Tribolium castaneum: one gene and its partner. The protein of the gene in region 1 interacts with the protein of each later gene in a pairwise test. Links are inferred from orthologs where the notes say so. Each region holds a gene or a part of one and is shown on either strand. Other genes may lie near its edges.

The links.
Region 2: the proteins of Rlip (region 1) and AP-2mu interact in a two-hybrid assay, tested with the Drosophila melanogaster proteins (2 studies listed by BioGRID). The link is inferred for Tribolium castaneum from reciprocal best matches to the Drosophila melanogaster genes Rlip and AP-2mu.

The regions. Positions count from the first base shown.
Region 1 is NC_087403.1:3,534,795-3,541,580, forward strand, and holds Rlip (ralA-binding protein 1), read right to left. Parts: upstream 4,006-6,786; 5' UTR 3,864-4,005; coding exon 3,776-3,863; intron 3,725-3,775; coding exon 3,595-3,724; intron 3,550-3,594; coding exon 3,341-3,549; intron 3,289-3,340; coding exon 3,027-3,288; intron 2,981-3,026; coding exon 2,803-2,980; intron 2,756-2,802; coding exon 2,042-2,755; 3' UTR 1,996-2,041; downstream 1-1,995. Other genes in the region: larp (la-related protein 1), read right to left, coding at 5,636-5,667, 5,720-5,871. UniProt on the Drosophila melanogaster protein: Participates in receptor endocytosis during interphase, is also involved in mitotic processes when endocytosis is switched off.
Region 2 is NC_087395.1:22,139,925-22,146,427, reverse strand, and holds AP-2mu (AP-2 complex subunit mu), read left to right. Parts: upstream 1-2,672; 5' UTR 2,673-2,772; intron 2,773-2,867; 5' UTR 2,868-2,895; coding exon 2,896-3,072; intron 3,073-3,216; coding exon 3,217-3,379; intron 3,380-3,427; coding exon 3,428-3,646; intron 3,647-3,692; coding exon 3,693-4,203; intron 4,204-4,257; coding exon 4,258-4,504; 3' UTR 4,505-4,728; downstream 4,729-6,503. Other genes in the region: Dd (CTD nuclear envelope phosphatase 1 homolog), read left to right, coding at 1-64; peroxisomal membrane protein PEX14, read right to left, coding at 1,270-1,351, 1,400-1,827, 1,873-2,175, 2,224-2,289.

The DNA of each region.
Region 1 (6,786 bases):
TATGTAAGTAAGACTAATCATCCCGCTATGGCTTGATTGAGGAAAAAACAAAACAATTCAAGTTGCAAAACAAATCCACTCGACGATAACATTCGTGTGTTCGGTTTCGCTTTTCCCGCATTGTGCTCAAATTTATGTGGCTAGGTCAATTTGTAAACATTAACAGTGAAAATTATGAACGGTGAAGGCCACCGAAGTTATCTAATCGTATAAATGAACTACTTAGCTACTTTCTACATTTCCTCCGATCCGTAAATTGGAACGAAGTGTTTCTTTGGTATTTTTCAACAAACTATAATTTCCATCCTACGACTCTACCAGTGTTATTGTACCCGATGACGTCATATTCATCTCAAACTTGCGAATTCAACAGCCTTGATAGACAATCAAATCGAGAAAAAAATTAGAAAGCTGCTTTGTCTCGACTCAAATAATCGAACGGAAATTGGAAAATAGACCGCGGCTCGACCGCACCGTACTTATTTGGAAGGCATTTAACTCATTTTACTTTCGGTGCATTAATTGGACCAGTTTTCGACCGCTGATTAGCATCAATATTCATAAGCCATTACTCAAATTTGAAAATTTTTGCAACTTAAAACGAATCGTAAATTACTTCTCGCTAATCAGTTTATCTGAATTCTTGAGAGCTGATCTTGATTTTTTGATTTCTAGTTGTGTAACACTTATAAATATTAAAGTGCAAGTGTAACATTGACCGTTACATTCACTGGTTACTGTTTCGGCTACAGTTAAAAAGGCATTGTGCGCTGGAAAAATGTTTACATTCTCCCCATTTTCGATTTCTCCAGATTTGACTATAATTAGCAAAAAATGTAATCACAGCAGGACAAAAAATCTTATTACCCAGAATCATTGGAGCGCGAATCAGGATAAAGAATCGGATTCGAAAGCGATGAAAAGATTAGAAAGATAATAAAATAAATCACGTTAAAGAGCTTGGAATGAATTATTATTACTGATAAGTGTGCATGTGCGTAATCTTAGATAAGGATGAGGGGCAGATTAACACAATAAAACGAAAGTGATTTAGAAAATGCATTAATTAGTTTAAAATCTCGTTTTTTCACTTTCTTGCCTCCTAAGGCAGAACAATTCGAATTAAATGTACGATATCTGACATAATCTCTTGTTCCACTTTTGGAAAAAGATTCAATCTGGATTATCGTATCAATTTCATGCTTGGATGCCCAAGTCGGTGTTTTTAGTTTGTAAATAAAACTGTAATAATTACAGACGTCTTCGGCTACTGGAACGGCTTCAAATCCGAAAATTAAACAAATCAAGAATGTTTTCGTGGTTGCTTATTATAACCTTGAAGACCTGAACAAAGTAAACTACCTACATACTATTATAATCTAATCTTTTTAAAAACATTTCGTACAATAAATAAGATAAAGAAAGGGTGCCGAAGACGAATGGGCTAAAATTCCGGGTTGGTGAAGTTTCTGGGTTAAACGGAATCATCTGTGTAAACAAAGTCGACAATTTAATCAAAAGTTGAGCAAACTTGATTATGATTGTTATTGACGTGGGAGTCATAAATGGGGTTTTGGGTCACAGAAGACTTACCACGAGATGGTCCCTTGAGGCTTCGATTCAAAATGTGACTTATAACAATATAATAAAATGAGCAATGTATACACACTAAACACTAACGAAACTCCTTATCTTATTTATTGACTTTGCCAAACGCCAGCAAACATCACAAGGGACGGTCGTAAAAATCCAACAAATAACAATTAAAAAATTAAACACCTTCAACCACTTCCTATTCTAAAATAATATCGGACATGAAACAGTACGAACTCACTCCCCACTAAAAATAAAAACAACACGCACAAAAACATGTAAAAATACTCGACTTAAGTAGTGCTAGCGCCGCCTGTTGGCTTAGTTCAGGCGCATTGCTAGTTGCATACCGTAACCTTAGGCCCACTCCAATGTCAAGTCTACCTAAATTTAAACCCAGCGTCAATTTGAACATTTATTATATACAGTTACAATAATACTGGACACATTACGACTTGGCTAAAATCTGCGCTCTCAGCTCGATGCACATCTCCTGCTCCTCGATGATCTGGCGGACCAAGTTGATCTTCTTGATTTGCAAAATTTGGTTCTCCTTGAGGAACAGGTCCATGACTTCGTCCAGGTCCTCGTTGGGCACCATCGCCACGGGCGGCACCTCCCCCGTGATCTGCGAGCGCAGCACGGCGATCTGGCCGCGCTCCGCCTGGATGTCCTTCAGGAGCGAGTCTCTGAGCAGCAGCAGCCCCTCGTTCTTGAACTTCAGCAGCGCGACGCTGCCGTCCAGCTCCGACTCCTCCTCGCTGGCCGCCTCCTCGGGCTGCGCCTCGGGCTCGGGGGCTTCCACCTTCTCGACCGCTTCCTTGTCGCGGTTCGCCGTTTTCAGCTTGCGCTTCAGCTGCGTGATGATCCTCTGCACCTCCCAGAGGAGCTCCTCGCGCTGCTTCGAGATGCAGCAGACGTTCATCTCCTTGTGGATCTGGGTGAGGAGCGACTCCTGCTTCTTGAGCTCCGTCTCGATCTCGGGGGGCTCCTCGGGGAGCTTGGCCCCGGACTCGAGAGGGGGCACGTAGCGCGCGATTGTGATTGTGGGGAAGAGCGCGAGGCAGTGGTGGAGCAGGGCGTGGAGGAGGCGCGAGGAGCAGTGGAAGGTGTGGTTGAGGGCTGTGGAAATGGCTTGTTTGTTCATTTTGTTGCATTTTTCCTGCGAAACGCGCTATACTATGGGGGCTGGGGTGTTAAGGCACTCACATTCAGAGAAACGTTGTGTAAATGGGTGATGAGCCAGCCGAGGAGCGTTTTGTTGTGGGGAGGTAAAAGGTCCACTAAAATTTTTAAGTGTTTTTCGCGAGTGTTGAGATTAAGGATGGCTCCGGCTTCCTCGAAACGTATTAAAAGGTCGTTTGTAAAAAGTGGTTCTGGTAAATCTCTGCAAAGAGTTTTTGCCCATCATGTTACACCTAAGAAAAGGTTACCTTAAATAGGTTTTTACTAAACTTGTGACGGTTGGAGGGTCGTAGTCATTTAAATTGATATTGCCCCTCTGATTGTACATTTTACGTATTTGGAGAACTTTTGATTTTGTTCCGCTGATTTTGTATATGCCTTCGAACGACATACCTACGGTTTCTACATAGTCTATACATTCCCGAATGGGTAAAGGAATGTCTACACCGTCATGGCACCGGCTCCTCTCAACAGCCACGTCTAAACTAGCCCCGAAAATCGGTAAAATATCTGGAACGAACAATTCATTCCAATTTTATTGTCATTATGTAAGAGTTCTCACCGCCGATGTCAGCGGTCTCGTCAATTGACTGTTTGAGTTTCTTCGTTTTCTCACTCTTGACTTTCTCCTTGTCCTGCTTCTTGTCATTCTTCTTATCCCGGTCTTTCTTCTTGTCGAGATCTTTCTCTTTTTCGCGGGATTTGTCCCGTTTTTCTTTGGCTTTGGTGGAGAATTTGAACGGTTTGGCTTTTTTTGTTTTCGACGGGCTTCTGAAACATCCCAGTGAGGGTTTGAGTGATTGCAGGTGTGATTACCTCGACTTGAAATTTTCATCAGCTGAACTTTCGCCTTCTAAAGCGGCATAACCTTTGTCTTTATCCTTCTTCTCTTTGCGTTTTCCGATGAGAATGTCCTTTTTCAAGACTTTCTCATTTTCGTCACTATCTAGAAACGAGTTTTAATCGGGAATTAGTGGTTCACTTAATTTATTATTACAGTCGCTGTCGTTATTGCACTGCTTATTTAATTCGGATGCGTACAAGCCTGGGAAATCCTTCATTACGTCGGGGCTATCAAAATCCATATTGACACGGTTGGGTTTGAACTTTTAATAAATAATTATGACACTATTTTCCCAAGGGAATTTGTTGCTAAGCATGTTAAGCTGGGATAAAACAGAAACAACACAAATCAAGTCATCTGAGTGGTGTAATATGACAGGTGCTTGCCCTGCCATCTCTTGAAGGAACTGGTGTTGAGGGCCGCCTTAACCGGGAGATTCGAAATAAAAGACGAGCTAGTTTTGTAATTTTTTTTAATTTTTTTTACGTGTTACAGGAAGACAAATCTTTGACCACACTTCCACAACACACTTTACAAACTAACTTAACTATGTAATAAATTGCAAGGAGTTGAGCAAAAAAAACGTTTAATTATCACAAGATTTATGTGTTTTTTCGTCTCGCCTGCAATCAATTGTCGATTGCACGTGGTTGGTTGCAGGCGAGACGGAAAAGCAGATTTTCAACTATCTTAAAATGATGAATTAGTACTCTAAATACAATATTACGAAAACACATACAAAAGAACTCCTTGCCTGTCCTATGATTTACATTTTCATAAACATACCAAAGGGAAGGTCATTATAAAAATATATCAAGAGTAGTTGACACCTAAAACTGTTAACAATATAAAACAAATGGGATTTAGTCGTATTAATAAAAACAGAGTTTCAAGTAACAACACCTTTGTCTAGTCTTGCCCCTAAACCAGTTGTCAAGGGGTCCTAACACAACTTATAAATATCCTCAAGCTAGATCAAACGAGAGGAGTGAAAGAAAATCCGGCAACGTAACAAAGTAAAAAGTAGTCCCTACTACGGGAGAAGTGAATGAAAATCCGGCAACGTAACAAAGTAAAAAGTAGTCCCTACTACGGGCGGAGTGAAAGAAAATCCGGCAACGTAACAAAGTAAAAAGTAGTCCCTACTACGGGAGGAGTGAAAGAAAATCCGGCAATGTAACAACGTAAAGAGTAGTCCCTACTTTAGATCGAGGCTACGCGCAAAAAAAAAACAATAATATAATAACAAAAGAAACGGTGGTTGTGTCATTAAATGGTATTAGAACAACGAGTTGGCGAGTGGCGTTTATCTATAGTCTTGAAACAACATTACAACTAAATTTTTTTGGGGAAATGCATACCTTAAGTAAATAAGTAAAATTTACCATCGTATGATTGCCATTTTCAATGAAAAGTGCAAACATTCTTAGCTCAACTAAACGTACATTGATTGTATTGTTTTCTAATGAACCAACCTTAAGAAATCTCAGCTAAGCAGTTATACGTGTAGCCCAGCTACATAATGCTTAATATATTGGTACACACTAAAGCGAAAACGAAACAGCCTATTTTTTAGATTTTATATATGAAAGTATTGTGGAGTGAGCCCATATGTATGTACAAAGTATAGCGCAGTCATTACAATACAACTGATTAATGTAACCATCAAACTCACACAAAACTTTATGACTAAATCATTCACGTTATATAATAATAGAACCGATACGGTCTCCACTGACATTTAAAAAATATTGCGTTGCATAGCTTCATCTTGTAATTACTAGAAAAATATGAAACTGTCAGTTATTTTAAGGCAATGGCACTTGCGCAAATCTACTTACACTTTTATACATCAGTTATTCATTTTTATACAAACATCAGTGCTTGATAGTTTTATAATAATTATAACTATAATTTAAAACATTATAACCTACACTTAAAATTTACAAAAGAAAAGACCGAGCAACGTACGAAAAATTACCTTGATCACTTAACTAGAACACTTGTTGGAACTTAAGCAGCGTTTGTGGAATTTTCAAATTTGCCTGTAACAAAGTTCAATTCAGGCCAAAAGTCACTCAAACCCACCCAACCTACCATCTGGCTCTTTCTGTCGCCAAGATTCACCGGTATTTCGGTTACTTTTGGTACGGCCAGATCCAAAAGACTGAGTACGAGCCCGTCCCGCGTATCTAAAACCTGTGCCAGCTGGAGCACTAGTTCCAGGCTGAGCGTGAGCAAAATCAAGCCTAGAATAAAATATACATCATATCACTCCCCACGCGCGCCCGCAACAAATACTGTTGCCCCTGGAACTCTTATAACTCCATGCACCCCAACAGTTCATATAAATAAAACGTCAAATAACAGGGAAAGTTCAAGGTTTAGCAAGAATTCCCGATTCAAATCACTTTATTTTACTGTGTCGCTTTGTTACTAGTAAATAAAAAAGAATAAAGTTTAAGAAAATTTAATGAAAAAAAAAAACAATGTTCCAATACAATATTACATACAACTATGAATTAAAAAATTAATTAAGTTTTAAAACGATCTGAAAACTGAGAATGTACACACATTTGGCGATTCTCCCATTTGATTCGTTACAGTAGTGCACCAATGAAACCTAACACCAAACTAACAGCCTAGTTCCCCTAACAACAAACAAAAAACTAAAAAATCACTCAACTAAAATAAATGCATTTCCGGAGAGCCCCTATAATCAATCAACTTTGGCTGAGGTGCTCTTCTTAAATAATAAATTAATAACAGCGCATTTATTCATAAGACAAGAGGATAAATAAGGCTTATAATCTTCGTAACGGACCGCAGACTAAACAATCTATACATTGAATGGCGAGTTAAACAGAATCGCGTCGTTCTGAACTTGACTGATTAAAAAACAACAATTTTTGGCACAACGTTGCCTCAAAAAATCAAACGATGTTAACTCAGGCTGCACTATTCATTCTATTGGCAGCGTTCTATCAATATTATTATAAGCAAATCCTTGGCAAAACCTTTCCCTATTATTAACAATATGTATCAGCATATAATATAGGATATCCCGGCGCCATTTCAGCCTGCATAGATCACTGGTGAGGTAAGTAAGCAACAATCTAATCTGGCCGAAATTACACAACATGGCTGCCCGACTCTCGACACCC
Region 2 (6,503 bases), on another chromosome or scaffold:
ATTCGATTCAACCAAAGACAGTAAAAAATTCAAGTCGCGCATTCCGCAGCGAATGTGCAACTGAATTTTGGAAATTGTGTTGTGATTTTCGTTTTTTGTAGATTGAACGAAATTATTTGTAGCAAATAAACCGTTACGAGACATTGTTTTTCTGTTCTTTAACGCTCGATTCGAATGATTTTATTTGTTTTATTTTTGTTTGTGCGGGGACAGCTGATAACAGTATTTGAATGCAGGTTTCTCGTGCTCAAACTGGACAATAGTGGTGTCTGTCACCCACACTTATCTTCCACACTCCTACCAACACCGGAAGTAACCACCCAAACAGAACTGTTATTACTTTTAATTGTTTCGTTTGAATTCAGTTATTTATTTTATTGTTTGTGTAGTCTATTGAGTTCTATCATTCCATGATTAGCGGAATTATTATTTAGACCAAAGACCCCGAAATTGTTTGGCTTATTGTACAGCATTTTGTTCAGCTCATTGTACATAAATAGCGTAAGTTTTCCAAGACTCTGATCTTATTTTCTGCATCAGAAAATAATTATACGAAACAATAATTTTGTGTTCAAAATTATTGGGACTAGATTAGATAATAATGTATATAGGTAGTTCAGCTTGGCTAAAATTAGGCAAAGCTTCGATTTTTGGCACCAATTATTGTCATATCATAAACTCGGTGCCTGAGTTGAACACCACATTTCGTGGCCAATTTTTATTTACAGTTGAACTGTACTTAAGCGCCCTCACGCGGCCAATTTTTTTAAGTAAGCTTTGCCAACTCCGTTGGGAGCTTGCCAACAGTTTTGGTTTGTAAATAATTGTAAATTGTGACGCTGTCTTAATGTTATTGTTGAAACTACTAGATAAGGTGCTACTTCACACTTTTGTGAATAGTCAAATAGGGTGTGCTGTCTTTAGAAAAAATTGTTTTTTTTTGCCTGGTAGGTTGTACTTACGGCAAGTTTTGGAATAGTTAATTGTTAGTTTCTAGGTACAAATCCTAACCTTTGTAAATACATGTTTTAGCGTTTAAACTGTACAGTAACTCTATACAAACTTGGAACAAAGTACCTAATAAATGACCTTTTACAGTGAAATAAAACTATTTAAGTAGAATCCAGAGTTTTATTGCTGCCATAAGGCAGAGTTAAAAATATTTTCTCACCACAAAAAAATTACCCTTCTTTTCTAATCCTATGTCAGCTAACTGCAAAACCTAATAACCAAGTGTTTCCTACTTTAAATGGCCTCGTTTTTGGAAGATTAATCTTTATCGTCGTCGTCATCATCGTCAACATCTTTGGATTTGTGTCTTCTAAAATCACTATCTTTGGATGAGAAAGATCTGCAATAAAATCAATAAAACCCGTCCGGAAAAAATCAAACCACTTGCATTATATCTAGACTAGAATCACTATTTTTTGCTGCATGTTCATGTTCCGAAGACCCTGATCCTGACCCAACTTCCATCAGTTCCTCGGCTTTTCTCTCAGGGTCTGAGTCGGGGTCGGAGTCCTGACTTATGCTAGTCTTCTGCCACGCAGGTATCGACGGACGGACTACTGAGCTTTTGGAAACCGGCGGAAATTGATTCCGGCTCAGGAGCAGGCCTTTGACTGTCGCAATTTCAGATTTCAAGTCTGATAATTGCCGCTGCGTGCTGCTCTCAGCCCCTTGACTAATTTTATCTACTTCTACTTTGACACTAAGTAAATTGTTTTTTAAGTCATTCACAGATTGCTTAAAACTCTTGTCTAATTCATCTATCGACTCCTCTACACTTTTCTTCTTTTTCCCGAAGAAAAACGGCGCTATAAATTTCTGCAAAAAATGGTATAGCGGCTTTTAACCACGGGAAACACGCACCATGTAAAATTTGTACACGACGTACGCTACGAAACTAAAAATGGCCACATTATGTACAACTTCTTTAACCTTATCAAATAAACTAATTTGGACCGTTGCACTGTTTGGGTACGGAATTAGGGAACTTGGGGGCAGAGGCGGCGTCCGATTTCTTTGTTCGTGGTATTTGTAAGCCCCCGATTTCTCGCACGCCTGTCTGATCTCCTCATCGGTTAAACCCTTCCGTTTCAAAAACCTTTGTTGTTCTCCTAGCGATGTTTTGAGCACGTTGGGGTTCTCCAGGAATTTTATAGCCGTGTTCACCTACAGTTAGCAATCGATAAATGGGGCAATTTAACCTAAACAACTTACCAAATCTTCCCGAACTGGGGGAGTCTCAGGGCGATTTTCCTCAAGTGAGGACAGTTGATCAGACATGGTTTTACACTAACCTAATTACTTAAAATTGATACATGGAAGTGATAACGCGAGTTCGGAAGACACCACACTTGTTTTTCTGCAAACTTTTAATTTTCAATCTCAAATTCCAAGGTTAAACAAAAACAAATGTCATTGGGACGCTGTCAAATCAAATTCCTGGAGACAAAGCGAAAGTCACTATTTAAATTTAGTCAAAAGACGACTTTTTTTCAAAAAAAAATTGCGATTTTATTGTAGAAACCTTTAAGCATTAGTCAATAATATTAGATAATTGCGATAATAATAATTTTTGTGTTTTTGCTAACATGGAAGCGTTATCGAGCGCATTATGAAACCAAACACTCTTTGGATTATCGCAGTGACAAGTTGTCAGTGGGTGTATGATGGCCAAGTAAAATAAAAACCGTTCGGCTTTAACTAATAATTCCGTTAAATCACAAAAGTGTGTGCGTAAAAAGCCTCTAATGACTTCACAATTCGGTAAATAACCAGTTTTCCCTCAAACTGTCCAATTTTTGGCCGATTTCAGTCGGCGTGAATAAAACTGCATTTGTAGTGATTACACCTGGTTTTAGGTCATTAGGCGAGAGCTGAGCCGGCAGAATGATCGGGGGGTTGTTCGTGTACAACCACAAGGGCGAAGTCCTCATTTCCCGAGTTTACAGGGATGATATCGGCAGAAATGCGGTCGATGCGTTTCGGGTTAATGTTATACATGCCCGACAACAAGTCCGCTCTCCGGTCACAAACATAGCACGAACGTCCTTTTTCCACATTAAGGTACATTTTGGTTTTGAAAATTGGACAAAAACTGGTGCGATTTCAACTTTTTCACAACCTTTTTGTTGCTTGTTTTGCGAATTTTGCACAAAATTGTATCAAATGAGTCTAGTCTCGGTCGAAATTGTGTTTTTTGATTTCCAGAGGGCTAATATTTGGATTGCCGCCGTAACAAAGCAAAATGTCAACGCCGCCATGGTTTTTGAGTTCTTGTTGAAGATTATCGAAGTCATGCAGTCGTATTTTGGGAAAATCTCTGAAGAGAATATTAAAAATAATTTCGTTCTTATTTATGAATTACTAGACGGTAAAATCGTTCAGTTGCATTGATTTGGTCATTACATGAAAATTGTAGAAATCCTGGACTTTGGTTACCCTCAAAACACCGATACCGGCGTTTTGAAAACGTTCATAACCCAACAAGGGATCAAATCGGCCACTAAGGAAGAACAAGCTCAGATTACGTCACAGGTTACTGGTCAGATTGGTTGGAGGCGTGAGGGTATCAAGTATCGTCGAAACGAGTTGTTTTTGGATGTTTTGGAATATGTTAACCTACTTATGTCGCCTCAAGGTTTTATAATTTTTTTTCCTGAATTTGTTTTCATAAAAAACTTTAGGCCAGGTTCTTTCGGCCCACGTGGCCGGTAAAGTCGTGATGAAGTCGTATTTGTCGGGAATGCCCGAATGCAAGTTCGGGATTAACGACAAGATTGTGATGGAAGCCAAAGGCAAAGGGGGCTTAGGGTCGACGTCTGATTCCGATCAGACCCGGTCTGGCAAACCAGTCGTTGTAATTGACGATTGCCAGTTCCACCAATGCGTGAAATTAAGTAAATTCGAAACCGAACATTCCATTAGCTTTATTCCACCTGACGGTGAATTCGAATTGATGAGATATCGTACAACTAAAGACATATCGTTGCCATTTCGGGTAATTCCCCTCGTGCGTGAAGTCGGTCGCACCAAAATGGAGGTCAAGGTGGTGCTGAAAAGCAACTTCAAGCCGTCGCTTCTTGGGCAAAAAATCGAAGTTAAAATTCCAACTCCGTTGAACACTTCGGGAGTTCAATTGATTTGTTTGAAAGGAAAGGCGAAATACAAAGCATCGGAAAATGCGATTGTTTGGAAGTAAGTTAGTGACAATCGATTGATTCACTTATTTGTATTCTGTTTTTCCCCAAGGATCAAACGTATGGCTGGAATGAAGGAGACGCAATTATCGGCCGAAATCGAGCTTCTGGAGACCGACACGAAGAAGAAGTGGACAAGACCGCCGATTTCTATGAATTTCGAAGTACCGTTCGCACCGTCCGGTTTTAAAGTACGATACTTGAAGGTTTTCGAGCCGAAATTGAATTACTCGGATCATGATGTTATTAAATGGGTGCGGTATATCGGAAGGAGCGGACTTTACGAAACTCGATGCTAAATTTTGAGGAACAACATTTTATTTCAATTATGTTTATTTTGTGTTATCTAATTTAGTAGTTAGTTGCTTTTTTTATCGATGGTTTACATCATGTCGGATCGAATATTATTTCTTGCTCTCAAATACTCAAGGCAAGCTTGATGTTGGAATAGAAGTGTTATGCAAAAGTATGCTCTCAATAATTTTATGTGAAACAATTTCACTGTGTTATCTGTAGATGAGGTATAACCATGTATATTTGTGAAGTGTAATGTTACATAAGCTTGGAAATAAATTGTAGCGAATAAGTTGGTGTCTCATTTGTCGCAAAACCAAAAAAAATCGGATTAGAACATACCTTGTGTTTACATTCGACGAAGTTGATTTTTTTTGTTTCATTATTTATTCTTATTAGAAGATGAGGTAAGTAGGTAAAAACGAATCACGAATACTTGACTGAGAAAAAACAATCACTGATAATCAGGACTCTTGGGCTCCCAATTAATTATTATGCAGTTTGGAAATTAAGTAAAGAATAAATTCATTAACTCCAGCATTTGCGCTAGAAATAAAAAGCGTGTGGTAGCGTTAACTGTCACGCATACGAGGAACGAATACTTATTTTGTTTGAGTTATACTCAAACTCAAAGTTAAAAAATGGAAAGCATGCGGTGACCGGAACTTCTGGCAGTCCCTCTTTCAACCGTCTTTCTAGAATCACCAGGTTGGTTCCAAGTACCTAATCCACTTTGTATTCAAATTCCCCGCACAGTTCTCCAACATTCAATACTCGTTAAACTGGTTGCCTGTGTATATTATGTTTAATTTGTTGTCTATATTAGCTTTTGAATTTTATAACGAGATGCATACCATCACCAATGACTAAATTTCGTGAATAAAATGTTTTGGGACGAAATCTTGGCGTTTTCTTTTCCTAAACACAGTCAGGGGCGTATTTAGGTATAGGCAAAATAGGCTGGCGCCTAAAGCAAACGCGGATTTTATTTTAAATGTTAATTTGTGAATAAAATTTAATTAATAAAAGTACGGAAGTAAAACCTAAAAAAAACCTACTTTTTTTTTGTTTTGATTAAGCAACTCACAGGATGGCTGACGAATATGTTGTGGTATTAAATTTTAAGCAGGTTGCGGCTCCGATAGTAGCAGAATAACCCAAACAAAACGATGAAGTTGAAAAAAGAGCGTCATCAAAATTTTTTGAAAGGGATTTTGTTACGTTTGAAATTCAGTTGTTCACAAATACTTGATGGCAAATATGCTTTGTTCGTCGCGAACAAAAATAATTAATAACGTTTCACTTATGAGGGGTAGCAGAAAAAATTAAGTGGTGCGCGGAATAAAAAACAAGCTAAAGAAAGACTTGAAAAACTATACGAAGTAGTTAATAAAATATTTAAAATTGAAGACAACTTTAAACTTTTTCCGGGTGTTCTTCAAAAACTGTCGAATGTGAAAAAATTTTCACACTAAGCAAAGTATTTAAATAATTGAGTGTTAATGATTAGAGATGATTAATATTGAATTAATTGTAACTGAAGACTCAAAAAATATTATGGTGAGTGTAAGCTGTAATCCTACAGAATTGATAAATTTTGAAATATTTATGTGTTTATTGATTTTCTTTACGTAAAAAAAATTAAAACGTGGTAGGGGGCGGCTTATATTTTTTGCATATAGGTGGCAAAATTGTAAATACGCTCTTACACACAGTGCTTCATATAACGATCTCAAACTCTACACTACAACATAACGGTTTTTTCTAGACGATCGTCACATAAAAACTTACACTTTGACAAGGCCAGATCTTAGGCCAGACCAAGTTGATACGAATTTGTATTTGTATTGTATTTGCTTTGTATTGAAAATAAAAAAAAAAACATTTAATAGGTAATTTAAAATACAGGCCTGAGATATTTTGGATTTTTGTTAACTGTTCTCGCAGACATAAAGCAAAAATTAAATTGAAAGTAGGCAGCTTTTAAAATACATCGCTCTTCGA